Pelodiscus sinensis: one gene and its partners. The protein of the gene in region 1 purifies or fractionates together with the protein of each later gene. This does not show direct contact. Links are inferred from orthologs where the notes say so. Each region holds a gene or a part of one and is shown in the gene's direction. Other genes may lie near its edges.

The links. The genes of interacting proteins can lie anywhere in the genome.
Region 2: the proteins of PEX5 (region 1) and PECR purify together in Homo sapiens (affinity purification with mass spectrometry; 3 studies listed by BioGRID, with this or other methods). This does not show direct contact. The link is inferred for Pelodiscus sinensis from reciprocal best matches to the Homo sapiens genes PEX5 and PECR.
Region 3: the proteins of PEX5 (region 1) and ACOX1 purify together in Homo sapiens (affinity purification with mass spectrometry; 3 studies listed by BioGRID, with this or other methods). This does not show direct contact. The link is inferred for Pelodiscus sinensis from reciprocal best matches to the Homo sapiens genes PEX5 and ACOX1.

The regions. Positions count from the first base shown.
Region 1 is NC_134711.1:137,879,249-137,886,831, reverse strand, and holds the start of PEX5 (peroxisomal biogenesis factor 5), read left to right. Parts: upstream 1-4,348; 5' UTR 4,349-4,545; intron 4,546-4,859; 5' UTR 4,860-4,901; coding exon 4,902-5,051; intron 5,052-5,485; coding exon 5,486-5,521; intron 5,522-5,701; coding exon 5,702-5,834; intron 5,835-6,044; coding exon 6,045-6,179; intron 6,180-7,583.
Region 2 is NC_134717.1:3,124,792-3,132,668, forward strand, and holds the start of PECR (peroxisomal trans-2-enoyl-CoA reductase), read left to right. Parts: upstream 1-4,834; 5' UTR 4,835-4,859; coding exon 4,860-4,989; intron 4,990-7,877. UniProt on the Homo sapiens protein: Participates in chain elongation of fatty acids. Catalyzes the reduction of trans-2-enoyl-CoAs of varying chain lengths from 6:1 to 16:1, having maximum activity with 10:1 CoA. Has no 2,4-dienoyl-CoA reductase activity.
Region 3 is NC_134730.1:10,989,780-10,997,092, forward strand, and holds the start of ACOX1 (peroxisomal acyl-coenzyme A oxidase 1), read left to right. Parts: upstream 1-4,270; 5' UTR 4,271-4,450; coding exon 4,451-4,559; intron 4,560-5,896; coding exon 5,897-6,056; intron 6,057-7,313. UniProt on the Homo sapiens protein: Involved in the initial and rate-limiting step of peroxisomal beta-oxidation of straight-chain saturated and unsaturated very-long-chain fatty acids.

The DNA.
Region 1 (7,583 bases):
ACCAGACTAACATGGCTACATCTCTATTAATGTTTAGGAGGAGTTCTTGAACAAACAGGCTCACAGATGGACAGACAGACACATTTCTAAAATGTATAGAAAGATAATAACTTTACGGAATCTATAGACTTCAATGGAGCTGTTTAAATTGACTGTCTACATATACACAACTATGTAGATTACATGCAAATAAACTTTGCCAAAAGAACATTATTTAGGTCATAATATCAAGCATTGAAAAGTTAGGATGATCAGAATTAAGGTTCTCTGTGCAACATTAAGATACCATTTTTAAAGTCTTGTGTTTTTACCACAAAACTACTGTCTCTTTCAGTGGAGCGGTGCATAGTGAATGAAGTGTTGCCAATTCATGATTACATCACAGGTTTCATGATATTTGGTGTATTTTCTTAAAGCTCAGCTCTGGGAGTCATTCATTACATGAGAATCTCAGCTTTCATTTTAAAAATTAAGTTTCTAACCCTCATAGTTGTGAAGACAATCTTGACAGCAATTATTTCAGTAACCGGGTTTGGTTCTTTAAAGAATTTGAAACCACAGACAGAGGAATACTTCTTTTTAAGGTCAAACAAAGATTTTTTATTTTTTCTATTTACTTTATAATTAATTTTCAATGTAAATCAATTCACTATTTTTTATTCTTTTAAGACAATATAATATACAAAGAAAAAGCAGAAAAACAGTACAGTTTAAAAAAAACAAGAAATAATAACTTCTCGTACAGATATACCCTCCTGATTTACCTTTAAACAATTTATGGAGTTAACAAATATATAATACTTACATTAAGAAAGATAGAAGCATTGCTTAGATTCAGGAGGTATTCTTTTCTTTATGTTTTTCCTTTTTTTGGATTTTTTGTTGCAACTTACGACCGGTGTTGTTCCCCTTTCGGAGCTTATGTGCAGCAGCGAGATTCAGCGCCGGGGAGGGAGCTCTGGTTGATCAGACCTAGCTTTTTGGATTCGCAACCCGTCCACTCTTGGTCTGTTCCATCCAACCTTATATACCCTGTTTCGGTATTTTGGTACTCCTCCACTCGCCTGACAATTGCTGATGTTAGATTTTTGTTGTCTCATTCTGCCCTTACAAAAACTTTCGTCTGCTCCATTTGGGGTAATCAGCACTTTGTTGCATACTGCCGTCTGAGTTACTTACTTCCCTAAAAGCGGGGTTATTGTTGGTCATCCAATCAAATTTTGTTTTTATTTTACATCTCCTGTATCTCACGATGCTGCCTTTCCTTTACACTTACATTTAAACTGGTGCTCATTTGACATATTCTGGGTAGGCCTCAATACCTTCCTTTCACAAATTCCAAGAAAGGCTCAAAAAAACAGAAAGCAAACAACCCCCACACCTTGCATTTATTATTTTTAAAATGTCATGACTTTTGAACACGTGGGGTTAGCAATAATGGGAAAGAGGCAACTGTTCAATATTTCTTATTTTCCTTCATCTTTTACGATGTGTCCCTTTCTCTTATTTAATGCACACCACCCCTGTCATGCATTATTTATTCTTATTTATTTCCTTATGTATTTTTGTGCTCATCTGTATAGTAGCTGAGCCTCACAAATACTAATAAAAAGCTCTCCACATTTATACTATGAAATAAGAAAGCACCATTATTCCCAATTTAAAGATGGGGAAGCTGAGATTGAGACTTGCCTGAGCCTGAGGTCACAAAGCGTATCAATGGCAAAACAAGAATTAGAACTCAGACATTTCTTAATTACCCAGTCTGTGCACATGTCTCCAAACCACACAGTATTACTGCCAGTGCCAGATGTTCCATATGCCCACAACTCCCATTGATCTTGTGAGCACTCAGCACTACTATGAATCAGGCTCCAAGCTGGCCTATCTAAATTTGGGCATTCAGAAAATAAGGAATGCACTGTTAGTGGCCACCTGATAATATTCTGGTTTAAGTAACTTGCCCAACATCATATAGGAAGCTTGAGGCAGAAGCAGGGGTGGGACTGAGCTCTCCTCTACAGTATTAACTTGCCTAAGCCACAAGACCATCTTGTCTCTTTTTGCAGCCCGTCCTTCCTCATAATCTTTAAATGTAGGGTTATCATATTTGAATGTTCAAAAAAGAGGACACCCCTAAGAGGGAATGTATCTGTATCAGTATCTACCAATGTGTTACATTAATATAATATAATATAATATAATATAATATAATATAATATAATATAATATAATATAATATAATATAATATAATATAATATAATATAATATAATACAGATATATTCCCTCTCGGGGTGTCCTCTTTTTGAAAGTTCAAATATGGAAACCCTATTTAAATGTCTTCTAACTTCGGGGAAAAAATGGCAGGGATCTTACGAACAGCTTCATTCACTGCACAATTGTGATTCCTTCCTTCAGCACTGGACCTTCTGTGTGCAGTGATTAAGAATATCACATAGTGTTTTCTGAGGGTTTTGTTCTCAAATGGTGCTTAGCTCTTTAGAGTTCTTTGGTCTTGCCCCCTCAATTTACCTGTCACTTTCAGAACTCCATGTACTGATTGATCTCCCGATCTGATCCTCTGACCCAGCGTTTCCCAATTTTATTTGGCCACGGAGCCCTTTTCAGCTTAAAAGAATTTCAAGGAACCCCTAGGGTTACCAGAGTAAAATGTGTTAAGAAATAAATAAATAAATAAATAAAGATCCACCAGAACTGGTCGAGCAAAAAATAAATAAATAAATAAAAAAAGCTGCAAAATAGACTGTGTCTTTAAGAGAGGACAGGGGAGTGCCACATTCTCACGGAACCCTTTCTTTTGCTTTGTGGAACCCTGGGGTTCCGCGGAGCACCAATTGGGAAACACTGCTCTGACCAATAGACAGCTTCTTCTGTTATTGTAACATGTGTAATACTGTCTTACTTATTAGAGCATTTATCAGGAAACTGCAAGTAAAACACCAGCACACACAAGCTGCACTTAATTTCTTCTTAGACTCCAGACCAGATTGGATACAGGCCATCCTCACTATAAGTCCAAGATACGTTCCAAAAAAACCTTGGACTTATAGCAAAACTTAAAACGGGGAATTTTTTTCTCCCGCGGCTGACTTTCATTTATGCAAAAAATTTTTTTTTGCATGACTTAAGAGCAGGGAATGGAAGGACTTATAATGTATCAGTTCCTATAAGCGTCAACAACTTTAGTGTGGAACGGATGTATACCAGGGTGACTTATAGCGGGAACGCCTTGTACAACAACATCATATGAAAGCAAGTCAAGAATTTAAATAAAGGATACCTTCTGATGGAGGGGCTGTCGACACTGACCATTACACATGGGCTGTGTCTAGACTGGCCAGTTTTTCCAGAAAATCAGCCGCTTTTCCGGAAAAACTTGCCAGCTGTCTATACTGGCTGCTTGAATTTCTGCAAAAGCACTGACTTCCTACTGTAAAAAATCAGTGCTTCTTGCGGAAATACTATGCTGTTCCCGTTCGGGCAAAAGTCCTTTTGCGCAAAAGGGCCAGTGTAGACAGCTGAGATTTGTTTTGCACAAAAAAGCCCCGATCGCGAAAATGGCGATCGGGTTTTGTGGAAAAGCGCGTCTAGATTGGCACAGACGCTTTTCCGCAAAAAGTGCTTTTGCGGAAAAGCGTCTGTGCCAAACTTTTCCGTTAAAAGCATTTCCGGAAAATCATGCCAGTCTAGACGTAGCCATGGTATCTGGTCCTGTAAGAGCATGCAGGGGTGGCCTCTCAAGACACCTAGACCTAGCACTTCACTAACTTATTGATAATGCTCTGATTTGGCAATTGGCCCTGGCCTGTCTTAAGTCTTATTTTCACTAGGAAAGGCAGGCTGGCTTCCCTCACCCCGCTTACCCTGATCAGCCAGTGTGCTAGAATTACAACTGCCTTGGCTACACACACACACACACACACACACACACACACACACACACACACACACACACACACACACACACACACACACACACACACACACACACACACACACACACACACACACACACACACACACACACACACACACACACACACACACACACACACACACACACACACACACACACACACACACACGCTTCCAATCCCCCTTTCTGCCTAGTGGAGACGTGTCCTGAACAGGCGTGGAGCCCCTGGAGTCCCTGTCGGGCGCCTCGCCCTTTCAGAGCGTGCTGCTCAGCTCTGCGGCAGGCTAAGCCCTGGCGGGCCCCGGGATGCTCTCTTGGCGGCCTGCTCCTTTAAGAGCCGCCGGAGCGGCGCAGGCGGGTGGGGCACGTCTCGGGCTGCGTGGCCCTTTAAGAGCCCAGTTGTGGCCTTTGAAACCTCGCTCCTGGGGGGACACTGGGCTACACGCGAGCCCGGCTGGGCTGTTCCCTGGCTCCTCAGGCCGGCGATGCCTCCCCTGCGCCGGGCCGCGGCGAGGAGCGCGGTGCCTGTCTCTTTAAGCGCGCGCCCCGCCCCCTGCTGCTCGGTGCGCGGTGCGGGCTGCGCTGCAGGGGCCGCCGGGGCGCCAGGTAGCGAGGGGGGCGGGCGGGTTGCAGGTGCCCGAGCGCGGGGGGAGAGGAAGAGCCGGGGGGGGGGGCGCGAGGCCCCCCCTCTGTCCTGGCCCGTGGCAGCCCCAGCGCTTCCCTCCGGCCGCTCCGCTCGCGCCAGGCTGCGGGCGCTGCCGGGGAAGGGCCTTGGCCATGCCGCCCCTGCCCTCCGCTCGGCCGCCGGGGCTGCGCCCGCTCGGGTGGCCCCCGCAGCTTGCTCACGGGGCAGGTGGGTGCTGAGCGAGCACCGCCCCAGAGCCCTGCGGTCACGTGAGCTTTGTGTTTGTCTCCCCCAGACGGGGTGAGGGTCCTGCGGGTGCAGCGCCCCTACCCCCACCATGGCCATGAGGGAGCTGGTGGAGCCAGAGTGTGGGGGCTCCAACCCCCTGATGAAGCTGGCTGGCCACTTCACCCAGGACAAGGCCCTGCGGCAGGAGGGTCTGCAGGGTTCCTCGGCCTGGCCGCCTGCAGGTCTTGGGGCAGAGACAGTGAGTACCAGGGCATGGGGTGGAGGGTCCTTCTGCCAGCTCCTGTGAGGCGGGGTCCTGGATCAGTGAGGGTCAGGGATGCACTGGGGGGGAGGAGGAGTGAGGGTCTGAGTACAGGGGAGGCTATCAGAGCAGGTGGGAGTGGGGAGGCAGGGAGTCTGGTTGCCCTATCCCTGTTGTGGAGGCTGCTTGTGGAATCACTAGTTAAAGTAGTAGTGGTGGTGGTGGTGAGGGGATGTATGTCCAGTCACAGCAGAGGTCTGCCCAGAAAGGGGAGATATGGTGGCTGCCTCACCCATAGAGTGGGTCTGCCTAGGTGGGATTTTGGTCCTGCTATGTGTGGGGGGTGTCATATCATTCCCATCATAATGGGTGACTGATGCTGTAGGCAAGGTCCCACCGCTGGGGTGATTGTTTGCCTACTTTTCCCACAGGTCTCCAAACCTTTGGGAGTGGCCTCTGAAGATGAGGTAAGAATAACTGTATTGCTCTCCATATCACCTTTCTTACTGCCACATTTTCTTGATTCCTCTTCACTCTTTCCATCTCTCATTCTCTGGTTTTTGTCCTCCCTTCTCTTTCTCCTGTTTTCTGTCCCAGAGTCTCTGCTGGGTATTCCCCCTCACCCACTCTTTCTCTCTCCCTGACAGCTGGCTGCAGAATTCCTACAAGAACAGAATGCCCCCCTACTCTCCCGTGCCCCACACACCTTTAAAATGGATGATCTGCTGGCTGAGATGCAGGAGATTGAGCAGTCAAGCTTCCGCCAAGCCCCGCAACGAGGTGAGGTGGTGGAGATAGAGTTTGGGGCTTCTGCAACCCCTACCTACACCTCCCCGTGAGGTGGTATGTCTGGAGGGGGACTGAATTTAAAAAGCCTGCTTAGCTAGAGCAAGGGGTGTCTGTAGATTAAGAGACAAGAATTTAATCCTTGTGGGGGTGTGGCACTTGGGGCTTGTCACTGAACTCTCCCCCATCTCTTGCTGTCCCTAGCTCCAGGTGTGGCAGCCCTGGCTCTGTCTGAGAACTGGGCCCAGGAATTTCTGGCGACAGGAGATACCACAGCTGATGTCTCTGCAGATTACAATGAAGCTGATTGGTCACAAGAGTTCATTGCAGAGGTGACAGGTGAAGGCTCCTCTTGTGTAGATTGGGTGGTGTGTTGCCTGGTAGTATGTCCTACTCTGTTCTCCCATGTAGGAGTTGTCTGTTATGTGAGAGAGACACTCCAGACAGTGCTCAGGGCACTTTGCACAAGCAGCACGTGCCTCAGTGGGTCACACTGGTACAGTATGCGGGGTGAAATTACTCTGATCTAGAGTCCGTGTTTAAGGCCCGAGGGGACTACCAGATCAGTTAGTCTGAGGTCCTGCACATCACAAGCCACCAGCATCCACGCTAGGGATGTAATAGTGTAGTCGCTTAACTGATAAGCAAAAGCTAATAGGTTAATGCTATAGACCAGTGGTGTGCAACCTTTTTTGATCTGTCACCCCTGTACTGCGGAGGCCACCAACTGCTGGGCCCACCCCCTGGCCGGCCAGATCTAAGCACCACGACCCCCCTGGAAAGACATCTGCGACCCACAGGTTGTGCACCACTGCTATAGACTACATGCATTTCTGCCCCCCCCCCCCCCCTTGCCAGCACATTTTTTAGCAGGTTGGACAGCATCCCAGTTCAGTCCTGGCTTGCACTGGGTCCTGGACCTACTCCTGCTGTGCCTCTGCATTTAAAGTGTATTAGGAGCAGGCAGCCTGTCTCAGTTCTGGCTCGTGCTGAGTCCAGGAGCTCAGACCCCTCCCCCACTGGACAGGGGCTGCCCAGGGACTCTAGAGTAGCTGACTAACTGATAAGAATTCATGAGGTTAATCGACTAATCAAGTAACTGATATTTAACATCCGTAACAATGCCCTTTGACTGAAATAAGAGTGTCCTGAGAGATTTGCACCAGCTTGTTGCACCAGGTGGGGAAGAGTTGCCCAAGGCTATACAGCATATAGGTGGTGTGATATGGACTGTAGTCTGCTCCAGATCCCTCCACTTCAACCAACTGAATCCCTACATTAAACTGTTGGGCAGCAGTTAAATAGCTGCTATGCCCCACCCCCGAGGGGGCTGCTTTTCACTGATCCGTGCAACCATCCATATTTATTTCTTTCATATACCTGTTGGAGACAGGCATCTAATTAACATTTATGATGATCTTTGACAGGCTCTGATGAAGAGCTAGAAATTTGCATCAGGAAAATGAATTCTTCATTGCAAACAGCAACCCAGTTTGCTGTTGTCCAAGATTTCCTTTAAAAAAGAAAATTGGTAGTTTGCCTAAAATGAAATCTACCTGCATAGGCTAGTTGAATCGAAAGCTTGTTATATTTCAAAGTAAACAAGCAGAACTAAAGAAACAAATGGCAAAAAGCATCTGTTAATGTTACAATCTGGACTGCAAATCAACTGTAAATTGGAGGCGCTTAAAATTTAAGCTTATCTGAACAGTGTTCTGTTTTTATTTTGTCCCTTACTCTTCT
Region 2 (7,877 bases), on another chromosome or scaffold:
CCTTGGGCTGTTGCTACACTTCAAAGGCAGAAGCACCCTTATTGACTAATCCTGCGTTTCTCATACTGTGGGTCCCAACCCCCCAGGGGGTCGTGAGCAACTTGGGGGGGAAGGGGGTGTCGCAGCTGAATTCAGTTTTTCTCTTGCAAAAATTTGTGTGTCTCCAGCATCTCAACTGGCATCCATTGACACTGATCACGTGATTACCAATAGTTGGGCTTGGCTTCTATTGCAAATGTTCGCGTGTCTCAGATCATAGAACATAGAATCATAGAACCATAGAGCTGGAAGAGACCTCAGAAGGTCACCAAGTCCAGCCCCCTGCTCTAGGCAGGACCAATCTCAACTAAATCAACCCAGCCAGGGTTTTGTCAAGCCAAGACTTAAACACCTCTAGGGATGGAGACTCCACTACTTCCCTAGGTAACCCATTCCAGTGCTTCACCACCCTCCTACTGAAATAGTTTTTCCTAAGATCCAACCTGGATCTCTCCCACCACAACTTGAGACCATTGCTCCTTGTCCTGCCATCTGTCACTACTGAGAACAGCCTCTCTCCATCCTCTTTGGAACCTCCCTTCAGGAAGTTGAAGGCTGCTATCAAATCCCCCCTCACTCTTCTCTTCTGCAGACTAAACAGACCCAACTCCCTCAGCCTCTCCTCATAAGTCATATGCTCCAGCCTCCTAATCATTTTGGTTGCCCACCGCTGGACCCTCTCCAATGCGTCCACATCCTTTTTGTAGTGGGGGGCCCAGAACTGGACACAATACTCCAGATGTGGCCTCACCAAAGCTGAATAAAGGGGAATAATGACATCTCTGGATTTGCTGGCAATGCTCCTCTTAATGCAACCTAATATGCCATTAGCCTTCTTGGCTACAAGGGCACACTGTTGACTCATATCCAGCTTCTCATCCACTGTAACCCCCAGGTCCTTTTCTGCAGAACTACTACTTAACTGGTTGGTCCCCAGCTTGTAACTATGCTTGGGATTCTTCTGTCCCAAGTGCAGGACTCTGCATTTGTCCTTGTTGAACCTCATCAGATTTCTTGTGGCCCAATCCTCCAATTTGTCTAAGTCACTCTGGACGCTATCTCTGCCCTCCAGTGTATCCACCTCTCCCCCTAGCTTAGTGTCATCCGCAAACTTGCTGAGGGTGCAATCCATCCCCTCATCCAGGTCATTAATAAAGATATTAAACAAAACCGGTGCTAGAACCGAACCTTGGGGCACTCCACTAGAAACCGACCGCCATCCTGACACCGAGCCATTGATCACTACCCGCTGGGCCCGGCCTTCTAGCCATCTTTCTATCCATCTCACCGTCCATTTATCCAATTCACATTCCCTTAACTTGCTGGCAAGAATATTGTGGGAGACTGTATCAAAAGCCTTGCTAAAATCAAGGTATATCACATCCACTGACTTTCCCACGTCCACAGAGCCAGTTACCTCATCATAGAAGCTAATCAGGTTGGTCAGGCACGACTTGTTCTTTACCCACCATAGGCTGTCCACCTTCATCCCATCTTGTGTCACTTAGCGCATTAGTCCGGGAGCCCACCTTGTCCGTGAATACAGAGGCAAAGAAAGCATTGAGTACTTCAGCTTTCCCCACAGCATCTGTCACTAGGTTACATCTTCATCCAGTAGTGGCCGCACACCCTCTCCGATCACCTTCTTCTTGTTACATGAATTCATTTAGCATTTTAGGGGGTCGCGGTATCACAAAGTTTGAGAACCCCTGGACGAATCGAATAGTTGATGCAAATTGCATGGACTATTCGATTAGCCAATTGATGGAAATTCCATCCACTACTCGATTAGCCAATTAAACGCTGCTTAACATCCCTAGTTGCCAATTTTCTATGCACAAAACCAAACACCCCGGGCCTGCCTCTATGCCCCACTTATTCGCAGCGACCCTACCTCCACTTGCTCAATCCCCTCCCCACCCCCGCCTCTGTAGCTTGCTCTCTCTCCCACCCTCACTCACTTTCACTGTGCTGGGGTTGAGGTATGGGGGGTGGAGGAGGGGCTTCGGCTGGGGAGACAAGCTCTGGGGTGGGGCTGAGGTGTTTGGGAAGCAGGAGCATGGGCAGTCAGTGAAGGTAGGGCTGGGGGAGGCAAGGTATTTGCTTGGAGAAAGCTATAGATTGATAAGTGCATGGGATGTGTATGAATGATCCCATATGTAAGGAGTTATAAGATAAATGGAGATAAAATATCCTTTTAAAGACACAACATAAATGCCCTGATTTTTCTGGTGAGCAATTTATATCTGATGGTGAAGGCTTTGCAAAATTCTCAAGAATTATTCAAAAAGAGAAGGTCATTTAAGGATAAAGCTTCAAGAAAATACAATTTCAGAGCAATGCATTTTATTTTATGGTTAGTAAGGTTTAAAAACAAAACAAAGCCGAGGTTTGGCAGGATTTCTCTTCTAAAAACCTTTCTTTGTTTTAAGAGGGAATATACATGCATGTAAAGATAATTCCTTTTATTATTTTATTATTATTTTATTTTATTTTATGAATAACCTATTTCCTCTTCAAAGGGAGTGGGCAGGAATCCATGGGTTTCAAAGGGGGAGGAATGTGCTAAGAATAGATCAGACAGCAAGGGTGGGGAAAAATAAAAGGGGAAGGCTGGGCAGATTTGCCCTACTTCCTGAGACAACTGCAGTCTCATCTGCGGATGGAACCTGTTTGTTGCCAACCAGAAAACGTGCACAGCTGATCAAGTCTCTTTATTCCATTCAATAAAGCAAGTAACTATCCCCAGCTCCCTCAATAAAGCACATCTGAGTGACCTGGACTAGACCACAATTTTGGAAAAGATAGCAAATGCCATTAGTAGTCAGTATTTCTTTACCTCTTGTAACCTGTCACTAATGCATGGAAAGAAATCCCATTTATTTCAGAGGCAGAAAGAGACTACTTCTCCAGTCCTTTGCACAGCCCTGCCCAGTGCCCAGGAGAATAGGGCTGTTTCCTGAGCCCCCTTCTATTTGTTGCTGTGCAGAGCTGGTCAGGTTTTGCTGTATTCAAAGTGGGAGACCCATTTGTTTTTGAGAACAGGCTAAAAATGCCTTTCCTTCAGCCTAAAATTTGCTCAGCCACTTAGGTACATGGAATTCATGCATAGGGTTGCCACGTGTCCAGGATTGACCCAGCTAGTCCGGTATTTGCACCTTCTGTCCGGTAAAGAAATTGAGAAAATACTGGACAGCTAATGACTTTTTTCCCCCCTCAACAAACATTTTTCCTGGGGTGGGTTTGTTTTTGGGTTTTTTTTTGGCTCAACAAAAATTTCCCTGGCGCTTTTTTTTGGAGTGTGGTATTTTAGGAGAAACCATCTGGCAACCCTATTCATGCAATGGGGGAACTTTTCTCCAACCTGCCTGCCTGCAAGGTACGGTCACAGGCACATATGCCTGGGAGGCGAAGTCCCTCTCCACCACGCATGCAAGAATGCCCCCTTCTCCGAGGTGCCTGCATGGAAGGAAGGAATCTTACATCTCGGCAAGGTGAAACGTCTCGGTGCATGCCCGGTGCCCTCCCGCAGGACTGCGAGGCTCCAGACTTCACCCGCATATAACTAAGCCATTACCCGCTCGGGTCTGTACGTTTAACCCGGTAAAACAATTCATTGGGAACAAGGTGGGACGTGCGCCCTTGCTGGGAAGAGATCGCCCACTGCAGCTGGAGTTTGTAGGTGTGGTGCCTCGCCCCCTCCTCCCCTGCATTTAAAAGCACAGCACCATTGACAACGGGGGCGGGGGGGGGGAGTCTTGTGCAGCTGCCTCCCCCCTACTCTCATCTACCTGGGAATTTCCAAGGTGCCGGGGGGAGTAGTCAGCCCCCCTTACATTAAGCCAAATGCAGCTAAATCACCTGACATTAGATCAAACTTACCTGCTGCCCTTCTCAGTTAGGTCTGCGTGGGGTAGGACGCTTGTGTCTCCAGCTGGTCTGCAAAGGGAACGAGGGTGGAGTCTGCAGAGAGCGGTACATGTCCCTGACCCTACAATGGAGGCGAGGGGGGCTGCAATGCGGTGGGGGGCGATGCTCCTGCCCCCAGCTGCTCTGCAAAGGGAGGGGGTCAGCTGCTGTGCAATGGGGCGGGGGGGCGAAGCTCCTGCCCCAGCTGCTCTGCAAAGGGGGGGGGGGGAAGCTGCTCTGCAATGGGGCGATGCTCCTGCTCTGCAAAGGAGGGGCAGCTGCTCTGCAATGGGGGGGGGGGCGATGCTCCTGCCCCAGCTGCTCTGCAATGGGGCGGGGGGGGGCGATGCTCCTGCCCCAGCTGCTCTGCAATGGGGCGGGGGGGGGGGCGATGCTCCTGCCCCAGCTGCTCTGCAATGGGGCGGGGGGGGGCGATGCTCCTGCCCCAGCTGCTCTGCAATGGGGCGGGGGGGGGGCGATGCTCCTGCCCCAGCTGCTCTGCAATGGGGAGGGGGGGGCGATGCTCCTGCCCCAGCTGCTCTGCAATGGGGCGGGGGGGGCGATGCTCCTGCCCCAGCTGCTCTGCAATGGGGCGGGGGGGCGATGCTCCTGCCCCAGCTGCTCTGCAATGGGGCGGGGGGGGGGGCGATGCTCCTGCCCCAGCTGCTCTGCAATGGGGCGGGGGGGGGCGATGCTCCTGCCCCAGCTGCTCTGCAATGGGGCGGGGGGGGCGATGCTCCTGCCCCAGCTGCTCTGCAATGGGGCGGGGGGGGCGATGCTCCTGCCTCCCCAGTGTCCGGGGCGGGCGCTGGCCGCTGCTCTCTCCGCCGCCCCCAGCCCCTGGCGCTGTCTGAGGCCGGGGGCGGGGCGCGGCGGGGTCACGTGGGAGGCCGGGGCCCCAGGGTGCGGCGATGGCGGCTCCGGGCGGCGGCGGCTGCTGCAGGGTCCTGGCCGCCGGGCTCTTCCGCAACCGCGTGGCCATCGTGACCGGCGGCGGCACCGGCATCGGCAAGGCCATCAGCGCCGACCTGCTGGGCCTAGGTGGGCAGGGGCCGCTGGGCGGGGGGCTCAGGGCAGGGGGCAGCCGTTGGGGGGAGCCGTTGGACGGACGGAAGGGAGGGTGAGGGAGCCGTTGGGAGGGAGAGACGAGGGGAGGGAGGGGGCCGTTGGGAGGGAGAGGTGAGGGGAGGGAGGGGGGAGCCGTTGGGAGGGAGGGGGCCGTTGGAGGGAGCCGTTGGGAGGGAGAGGTGAGGGGAGGGAGGGGGCAGCCGTTGGGGGGGGAGCCGTTGGACGGAAGGGAGGGGGAGAGGGAGCTGTTGGGGGTGAGGGAGCTGTTGGGAGAGAGGGGAGGGAGGGGGTAGTCGTTGGACGGGGGTGGGGCTAGGGAGCCGTTGGATGGGGGGGATCAGGGGAGGGGGCAGCCGTTGGACGGACGGAAGGGAGGGGAGGGGGCGAGGGAGCCGTTGGAAGAGAGGGGTGTGGGGAGGGAGGGGGCAGCCGTTGGACGGGGTGTAAGGGGAGCAGAAAGGAGATGTGGGGGGAAGCACTCAGCTGAGGAGGTGGGGCAGAAGGGATAGAGTGTCACGCTAAATAGTTGGTGCACAAGATGGACCTGGGGGAGAAAGGAGTGGGGACCTTTGGGGCGGGTGTGCAAAGAAGGCACCCAGGCCCGTTCTGTCAGAGATGCTTTATAAGAAAATCTTCAGCGTCTCATCACCCTCTAATTTAGGTTCATAATGCAAAGATGGGGGAAACTGAGGCACAGAACATGACTAAGTAACTTGCCTAAGATTCCATGGCAAACTTGTGTCAGAAGTAGGGACTGAAACCAGATCACCTGACTTTCCACTGGGTACTGGGAGTGTGCCAGTGGGAGGTTAGCGATGTACTTAATCACCTCTTGTGCTTCACTTATCCTTCCAGGCCTCTCCTCAAAATACTCACCTGGATTATCCTATAATAAGCTCTGAGCCTTAGGTGATGCAGCAGAAGACAAACACATTTGTCCTGACATTTGGATGTGTTTGAATAAAGTTGCACCAATTTAACAATCTCTTACTTTGTAACTGGCACAAGCACTTCTTGATTCTGCGCCCCCTCTCCCCAGTCCATCGCTTTAAAAAGTCAGCAGCACGGGGGACAGGCAGCTCCAGGGAGTGTATATGCACAGGGAGATGATTTGAAAGCCACCCTGTGGCTTTGTAGGAGGTGACAGCATGGGGTGAGGGAAGGTAGGTGGGAGCATGGAGTCAGCTCCCCATGTGTGCTGGCTTCCCCCACACTGCCTCTGTGGGAGGCATCAAGGCGGGGGCCGGTGGCTCCACAGCAGCTGGCACACATGGGGAGCTAGCCTAGAAGCCAGCTCCCTGAGCATATTGGCTCCTGTCCCCCCTCCCCCGGACTGCATCTGATAGCAAGGCAGCAAGCCCGGGAAGTGCATGTAGTAGATAGGACTAACCCATAAGACCAGGTTTATCAGTTAATCATGTAATTGACTACACGTTGACATCCCTGCTCTAAACCCGGAGAAAAAGCATGCCTCGTAAATAAATGGTCATGTCAAAGTGTCTTAATGTTACAATAAGCATTTTGTTGGCACAGGTCGAGGACCCCTGCTTGGAACGTTTTATTTGTCCCTGATATGTTTGTAGTAATCCATGGTTAAGCCCTTTTGCAACGTTTCCACAGTATTTCAAAGCTGATATTATGGAACGTACGTTAGAGATCTAGGATTTGGCCCTGAAATGCTTATTAGTGGGTGTAGTCCCTATTATTGTGAATATATTCACAGATATCAGTACGTACAGTCTTGGTAGTTAGCATACTGCCTGATAGTATAGAATTTGTAGAATGAAGCCTCTAATACTTTTCATCAGCTGAAATCTTGGTATAGCAACTTTTCCAGTGTTGTTGATTTCTGGTCTATGTAGTTGGCAACATATGTGCTCTTAATCAGGACATGAGCCCAAGGTTTTGTATAGGTCCAGGCTGAAATCTAATACACCTTGTGTGATGGGTTGGATCACAGAGATCCTCTTGTGACAAGGAATGTCAATGTGTAGATAACTACATGGTTAACCAATAAGCCTGGTCATATCAGTTAATCCTGTCGACTACATGCATTCGCATTCTCCACCTCCAGCTGCCTCTGTATTTCCCCTCTTCTCTCCCCTCCTGCTGCCTCTGATAGAGAGGCAGTAGGGTGAGGGGGGCAGGCAGAAGTCCGTACATGCTAGTGAGTGATGAGTAACACAGATGTTGAACCAGCTCAGGTCTGGGAGGGATCAGTTATAGGATCTTGACAGCACCCAAAAGCAGAGCCCTCAAAAGGAACCAAACTTCCTAATAAATCCATCTTTTATAAAATAAGTTATGCACAGTAAGCTCTTTAATATGTTCACCCTGTTTATCAATGAGAGATGTACAGCTGTGCTCCCCCACATCCCAGGTAACAATTTATTTGCACTAGGTTTATTATTAAACAAAAACGTTTTTATTAAGGCAGTAAGGTGTCCCTAGCCTTTGTTTGTCAGAAGCTGGAAATGGGCAATAAGGGATGGATGACTTGATATTTACCTTTTCTGTTCGTTCTCTCTGGGGCACCTGGCATTGGCTACTGTCAGAAGACAGGCTACTGGGCTAGATGGACCTTTGGTCTAACCCAGTATGGCCGTTCTTATGTTCAGTATAAAAAGAAGGATTTAAGTACTTTGAATATGTTAGTTTTCATAAAATACCATGTGATATTTATATATACGGTTATACAAAGAATTAGTATTTTTGTTAGCTTTTGTTCATTGGCTCATCTTTCTTTAATACTACTTGTTGAATTAGCATTACCTGTTAATTGGTTATCAGAAGTGCCGCTTCTGGTGGGACAAGACTTTGAACTCTACTGTTCTAAGCTGTCCTCAAAATTCATGAATAAC
Region 3 (7,313 bases), on another chromosome or scaffold:
TAACAGGCTCGCTATTCTGACGTCCCTGCAAACCTCATTCTACAAGGAGTAAGGGACGTTTCAGAACAGCAGGTTATTGCATAATTAAATTATGAAATAAGCTACACAATTTGCATAGCTCAAATTGCTATGGAACCAAGGTGTACCATTCAGCAAAAATAGGCCTGGCTCCTTCAACACACCACTTCCTAAAAATAAAAGCTAAGGACACCAAGAAGGGAAAAACCTAAGATCCTATGCCAGCCATGTGGAAGTCCTCTGAGTGATTTCAAGTGCCTAACTCAGTTAGTGATAGAAATGTAGCCGTGTTAGTCTGGTGTAGCTGAAACAAAATACAGGACTATGTAGCACTTTAAAGACTAACAATATGGTTTATTAGATGATGAGCTGAGGAAATATTTGATCTGAGGAAGTGGGTCTGGCCCACGAAAGCTCATCATCTAATAAACTGTCTTGTTAGTCTTTAAAGTGCTACATAGTCCTGTATTTTGTTTTAACTCAGTTAGGCATTTCTGTCTATATTTTCCAGGAATTCTAGTTGCTGACTAAGGTTATGGCTACACTACAGTTTTTGCAGAAAAATGGCCATTTTTCTTCAAAAACTTATGTAGCGTCCACACTTCAAGCACATTTTTGCACAAGAGAATCGAAAGAATAGAGGCATTTTTGCGCAATTGGTATTCCTCTTTCTACAAGGAAGAACGCCTTTTTGCAAAACAGTTCTTTCACAAAAAGGTGTGTGTGGATGGGGAAGAGGGGGTTTTTTTGCGCAAAAAGAGGAAAGAGGAAAAAGCACAGGTTCTCTGGTGGCCATTCTGTGCATACCAATCGGAGTTTACTTTCTAGAGAGCGTCCATGCAGTCTGGACACTCTCTTTCACAAAAGCGCATCGCTTTTTCGATGTGCTTTTGCAGTGTGGATGCATTCTTGCACAAGAAGTTTTTGAGGAAGATGTCTTCCAACAAAAGCTTCTTGTGCAAAAAGCCTGCAGTCTAGACGTAGCCTCACATACCAAGAAACAACTGTCCTTCACTCACCTGTGTTTGCAGCATTAACTGCTGCTGTAGACAATACCTAACAGATCAGCAAGGTGTGTAGGTTCTTCTTTTGTTTGTAATGTTTTCCTTGTGGTGCTTTTTACCTTAGGAACAAAGTAAACTTGCATGGGAAGCACTGTGTGGTACCTTATAACTGTAGCCATTATACCTGTTAAACAGCTTTGAAGAGAAAGATTGCTTGGGCCAGTTCAGGCAGCCTGGCTTTGCTGGGAATAACACTATGAAGGCAGGGAACTGTTCAGCTTGGACATGCCCCAATCAAGAGGGCAATGAGGGTGGATGATGAACACATGTGCATCTGCCCTGATCTGTGACAAGCAACACACAGACTTTCTCTTGGGTGATGACCCAAATCCATCAGTTGACCACATCCTGAAACAAAGTACTCATTAGCAAGAAAGCAAATGTGCTTGTATACATGTTTTAAAGATTGTCACAGGTGTGTGGGTGTCTGTTTTGTAACTGGTTCCAGTCAAGCTTGTTGCAGAGTAGTTTTAAAACTGAACAATTTACTGGTAACTAGAATTATAGAACATGGTGCCATACTTAATGGTACCACAGTGCCTTTCAAATTCTAGGTATATACAGACTAAGACCAAGTGTGAAAGCTTTTTAAAGTGCACTCAGTCTGTCACAAATATGGGAGATTATCTTAAGTAGGTGGGAGGGTTAGTCACATCCTACAGTTAAAATAATTAATTGGGAAATAGACTAAAAGGGTTGATCACAATAGATCTTTTGCGAAGAAGACCTTGGTGAATTGGCATGTAAGTAACTTACAAATTATTTTCAGATCTATCTGGAGATGACTTTCCTCTGAGCTAACAGCACTAGAGTTGATAACCAATTAGCATGAGTGAGAATCCTTAGGGATTCTGTCAAATCTAAACAGTCTGACCTTTCCAAATTAGTAATTAGCAATGTGGTTTTCTAGTGTGGTTCTGTAATTTCATTCTGAAATCTAAATGGCTATTCTAACTCATTTTCTAATATAAACAGAATATATATAGTATTACCCCTATTTATACCTGTTGTGAATTTGACCTACAAATGGAGAACGAGGAGGCAGAACTGGTAGGTATGTGGGCAGAGAATCCATGAAGAAAGGATAGGTGGCATGAGTTCAGGAAAACAGGAGAGAGTGTATAACGGGATCCAGGGGGTTGTGTTCAAACACACTGCACATACAATACCTCTCCTTCCTCCCGCAAAAACAAAAACAAAACTGGGGACCACCTCACGGTGACAGCTTCAGGAACATTAGCCATTTACCTTGTGAACTTTAATCGAGCGCCTCAGTATGAGCTCCACTCATACTAAGGGGAGCTTAGCTAGCTCACCAGACAACCAGCAGAGCTGTTTCCTTCCACAGGGTTCCCCTTAGCTCACAGCTGATGCCCCATTCATTCCCCACCCTTTTGCCTCTGATTTCAATTGCATGAGAAGAGGACCTCAGAGTCCATGAACAAGGATCTCAGGGTCTTTGTGGGGTTTTTCACCCTCCTTTAGGATCTCTGTGATCCTCCCTCATTCTCTTGGGACCTTTGAGGGAGAGGTCATACAATGCACTGCCCCTTACCTCTCTATCCCTGCCTCCCAGGTACGTTTGGTCACACACAGACACCAGGAACATGGAAACCAGAGAGCTCTGTTCAGCTAAACCTCCTCCCCCAGCCTTCCCATGTGACTAAGCCAGGTCCCGACCACATGACTAGAAAAAGCTCAGCCCCCTCCTTTCCTAGTAGGGTGGCAGCTGCAAAGCCCTGCTGAGGCGCTTATGTCAGTGAATGACTGGGTAATCCGGGTTCTCCCTCCCAGAATGTCTGTCTCCCTTCACTACTCGTTCTGCTTTGTGCCAAGGATGTGTCGCTGCCTCTGGCTTTAATAGTTATTGGCACCTTCCCACATATTTCTGAAAATTCTATTACACGGGTTCATTGGCCCAAGGGTAATTGCAGTTCCAAAGGTAGGGGATTAGATATTTGTCTAAGGAGAAATCCAAGCTAGTAATTTATATTTAGTACCTATCCAGTGTTATGGAGCTAATGGAATGCACTTCTTTTGTTTCACCAGATATATTTATTTGTGTCGATTTTAAAATTAATTTGTGAAACAGTCTTCGGGAAGAGGTACCATTTTGGGCGGCCAGCGCACGGTACTGGGAGCTGTCTGGATTCTTTGTCCAGCTCTGATGCTAACTGGCGGTGGACCAGTCCATGCTCCTTTTGAATGTTTATCTTATTTAGTTTGAAAATTGATTTAGTTAAATCAATGAAGTTTTTGGTGGGAACACTCTTAAATCAGTTGATCACATTATATTTGTTTTGTAACTGCATTGCAGTGCCTAGCATAACAACGCCCAGCCCTGTTTGCACATTTGTGCTGTAGCTGTAATAAAAGCCCCGTGCAAATTTATGTTTCTGTTTTGTTTTGCTGCTATGGCTCTCAAGTTGTGCATGGGAACTCCCGTACTCTACGCAACGGCAGCCGGACTGCACTGCCAAAGCCCTAAAATGTTAGAGCGCAGCTGGCAATGCAGAGAACCCTATAGCTGTCCTGTAATTAACAGGACTGCACTAATTGTACCACAAAGCCCTGCAAGTGATATCAAAGTTCAAAACTCGAAGACTGCGAGATGCCTTTTGGAGGTACACCCAGCATCTGCTCAGGATGTACCTTGCATTTCACCTGCTAGTGCTACCCAGTGCTGCTGTGGCAGCCAGTTCCTTCGAGATGTAGCTGGAGGGGCTGTTTCCCCTCCTTGTCATTTTGTGACACGCAGCCTTTAAACCTCTGCGATGACCCCCGGAGCGCAACGTCTTTCTAATACACGCGGGGGTCCCCTCACAGGGGCTGTGGTCCCAACCTAACTCCAATGCTAAGATGCCATGAAAGCGGTGCCCGAGCTAAAGCAATTGTTTTACATTCATGACCCTAGGACTTGCCAAGCCCAGAGGGGCTGGAGCCCAGCCTTTGCGCCCATTCAGCGCTGCCTAGCTTGCTGCTTGGCCAGAGAGAGCCCTCTCCACCCTTGCAGCTTGCACGACAGGGCACGGGGAGGGGGCGGCAGGAACCCCTCTCCTGCATCCCCGCTCAGCCCGCCCCACCGCACAGAGCTAGAGTCCCAGCGGCCCACCCGGGGGAGGCCCTTTGCGCATGCGTAAGTCTCGCGCCGAGTTGAGGGGTAGACGGGCAGAGGGGGCGGGAAGTAAAGTGGCGTGTCGGTGATGCGTGACTCAGCCGCGCGCCCTCGCTCTCGGTCGCCGCCCTCCTGGTCACGTGCCAGACCAGGGGGCGGGGCGGGGCGGGGACCGCGGCTCGCCGCCCGGCTGCAGCCGCTGGGAGTCGGTGTGTGAGAGCGGGCCGGGGTCAGGACTCGGGCAGGCGCCGCCATGAACCAGGATCTGCGCAAGGAACGTGCCTCGGCCTCCTTCAACCCCGAGCTCCTCACCCACCTCCTGGATGGAGGCGCCGAGCGCACCCGCCGCCGCAGGGAAATCGGTGAGAGCCTCAGCCCCCTCCCCCACTGGCTCGGGGGGGCCCCCCTCCTCGCACCGAGGAGCCCCACTTCCCCTCCCCCCACTGGCTCGGGGGGGCCCCCTCCTCGCACCGCGGAGCCCCACTTCCCCTCCCCCCACTGGCTCGGGGGCCCCTCCCCGCACCGAGGAGCCCCACTTCCCCTCCCCCCACTGGCTCGGGGGCCCCTCCTCGCACCGAGGAGCCCCACTTCCCCTCCCCTCACTGGCTCGGGGGGCCCCCCCTCCTCGCACCGCGGAGCCCCACTTCCCCTCCCCCACTGGCTCGGGGGGGACCCCCCCTCGCACCGAGGAGCCCCACTTCCCCTCCCCCCACTGGCTCGGGGGGGCCCCCTCGCACCGAGGAGCCCCACTTTCCCTCCCCCACTGGCTCTGGGACCCCCGTTCCTCGTGCCACGTAGCCCCATTACCCCTCCCCCCGGCTCTTGGGGGGGGGGGGCCTTCCTCGTGCGACGGAGCCCCCGATGGTCCTGGGCCCCCCTCCGCGCCTGAAGATGGCGTACCTCCCCCATAAGCTCTCAGGGTACTCCCTCCTCACATGACAATCCTTCCTTCCCCTCCCCCCGGGCTCTGGGGAAACCCCTGTTCTCAATTTGGGGGTTCTCCTTCCCCCTTGCCTACTGTGAGAGCCCCACTGGCTCGGTCCTATTCCGGTGTGTGTACCCCAGGCAGCTCAATTAGAGGGTGTCCCCACCAGATGAGTTGAATCACATTTGGGGAACCCTCACTCCTGTCCCTACATAAGGGAAGGAGCCCCTAGGCCTTCATATTGCTTTTTCTTGCCCACCCCTACTTTATACACCTAGAGGCCCCTTATGGAAAGGAGGATCTAGTAGTTAGGACACTACCTAAGACTTAGGAGACCTGGATTTGTTTCCTTGCAATGACACAGGCTTCCTTTGCGACCTTGAGCAAGATATTTAGCCTCTCTGTGCCTCAGTTTCCTGCTTGTAAAATGGACTAATGTAGCACTTCTCTACCTGACAGGGGTGTTACAAAACTAGATATGCCAAAAATTATGGTGCACAATAACACAATAGCAAGAATGATTTGTATACCTTAGTGCCTTGAAGTGCTAGACCAGTGACTTACTGACTAAAAGAGGCTTAAATGTACATTTAATGTGAAAATGATTTATTGCAAGATGTAATTGGAACTGAACTTTGTCACTTGCTTCAGATTTTTAGTACTGTATCTCAAGACTGGACATACTAATCCTTATAGTTTTACCCTTCCTCATGGGATGACTGGCTTGATTGCTTGACCCTTAATTCCTTTTCTGTTCTTCTGTTGTGCCCTCAGAAGCCTTAGTTCTGAATGATCCAGAATTCCAACATGAAGATTTAAATTTCCTCTCACGCAGCCAGCGATATGAGGTGGCCATCAGGAAGAGCGCCCTTATGGTGATGAGGCTAAGAGAGTATGGGATTGCAGATCCTGATGAAATCTACTGGTTTAAAAGGTACTGGACTCTGATGCAAAATAGATGCTAGAAGAAAATTCTTCTGCATTATCAATGAAATTACTTTTTTTCCTTTTAATCTTTTAAAGCGAACTAAGATCATGAGACACAGTCATTGAAGTCATGACTGCAGTGATCTTTGACTAAAGCCCTAATGCCCTAGATAAAATCTATTGGTTACAGTGTCTATTTCCTTAGATTCTTTTATTATCCAACTAAAAATGATAAAATCTTTAATGCCAATGATAGTAAAAATGTCCCTGAAACTGAAAACCTGGTTCTAAGTTAGCCTAAGGAATGAAATATTCTGACTTTTAATAAATGGCGTAAATTAGATCACTGTTCTTGGTGTCCTTCTGTGAAGCTCTATGAATAGAGCTATTGTCATAGCTGAAAAAGTTCAGAGTCAGTTTTCAGACAGAACAACACTTTTAGCCTTGAAATGTTTCTTTTTACCCAAATAAATTCTGACTTTCAGTTTAGCTGACCTTTTGCATTATCTAAGTTGGGGGAAAATCTTTGACAGTTGAATTAGACTAAGTTTAACTTGCCATGAACTTAGCCCTGAATATCATTAAGCACCTTTGACACAGGAAAAAACTTAGCTGAGAAATGTCTGATCTAGCTTTCAGTTAACTCCTTCAAATAAGGACTGCAAAGCTAGAATATCTAATAGCAGTGATTCTCAGACCTTTTGGCCCGTGGCCCACCCCACTCAATGCAGACTCTTTCATGAACCACCAGTCAATGTGACAAAATGGGTGAAGGAAGGGTGGAGGTGAGGTCTGGATGAGAGGTTGGTTGCAAGAGCAGTCTGAGGGTGGGAGGTGGAGTGCAGGAATCGGCTGAGGGTCAGAGGGAGGGTGCAGGAAGTGGGCAGGTCAAGGAAGGAGGGTGCAGAAGCAGGGTACAGGTGTAGGGTCTCGGAGGGAGTGGGAGGCATGAGGAGAATGAGGGGGAGGTGCTTACCTGGCTTTGCACTCCCCGCTGCATCCATTGGCCAGGATTCTGGCCAACGGGAGCTGTGGGTTAAGCCTCCAGGTTTCGTGAGCTGCTGTTCCACCAGCCATGGAAAGAGGGAGCAGCAGTGTGCAGAGCTGCTTTCTTCTTGCACAAGCCAGATAAAGCCTGCAAAATTCCTTTTCCTCTCCATCCTGCAGTGTGAAGCTGCCACTGGTATTCCAATCTCGTGAGGTGAAGGAAGGACTGTAGGACTAGTGCAGGTTCCCTGCTGCTTGAGGAGGACTGATAAGCCCC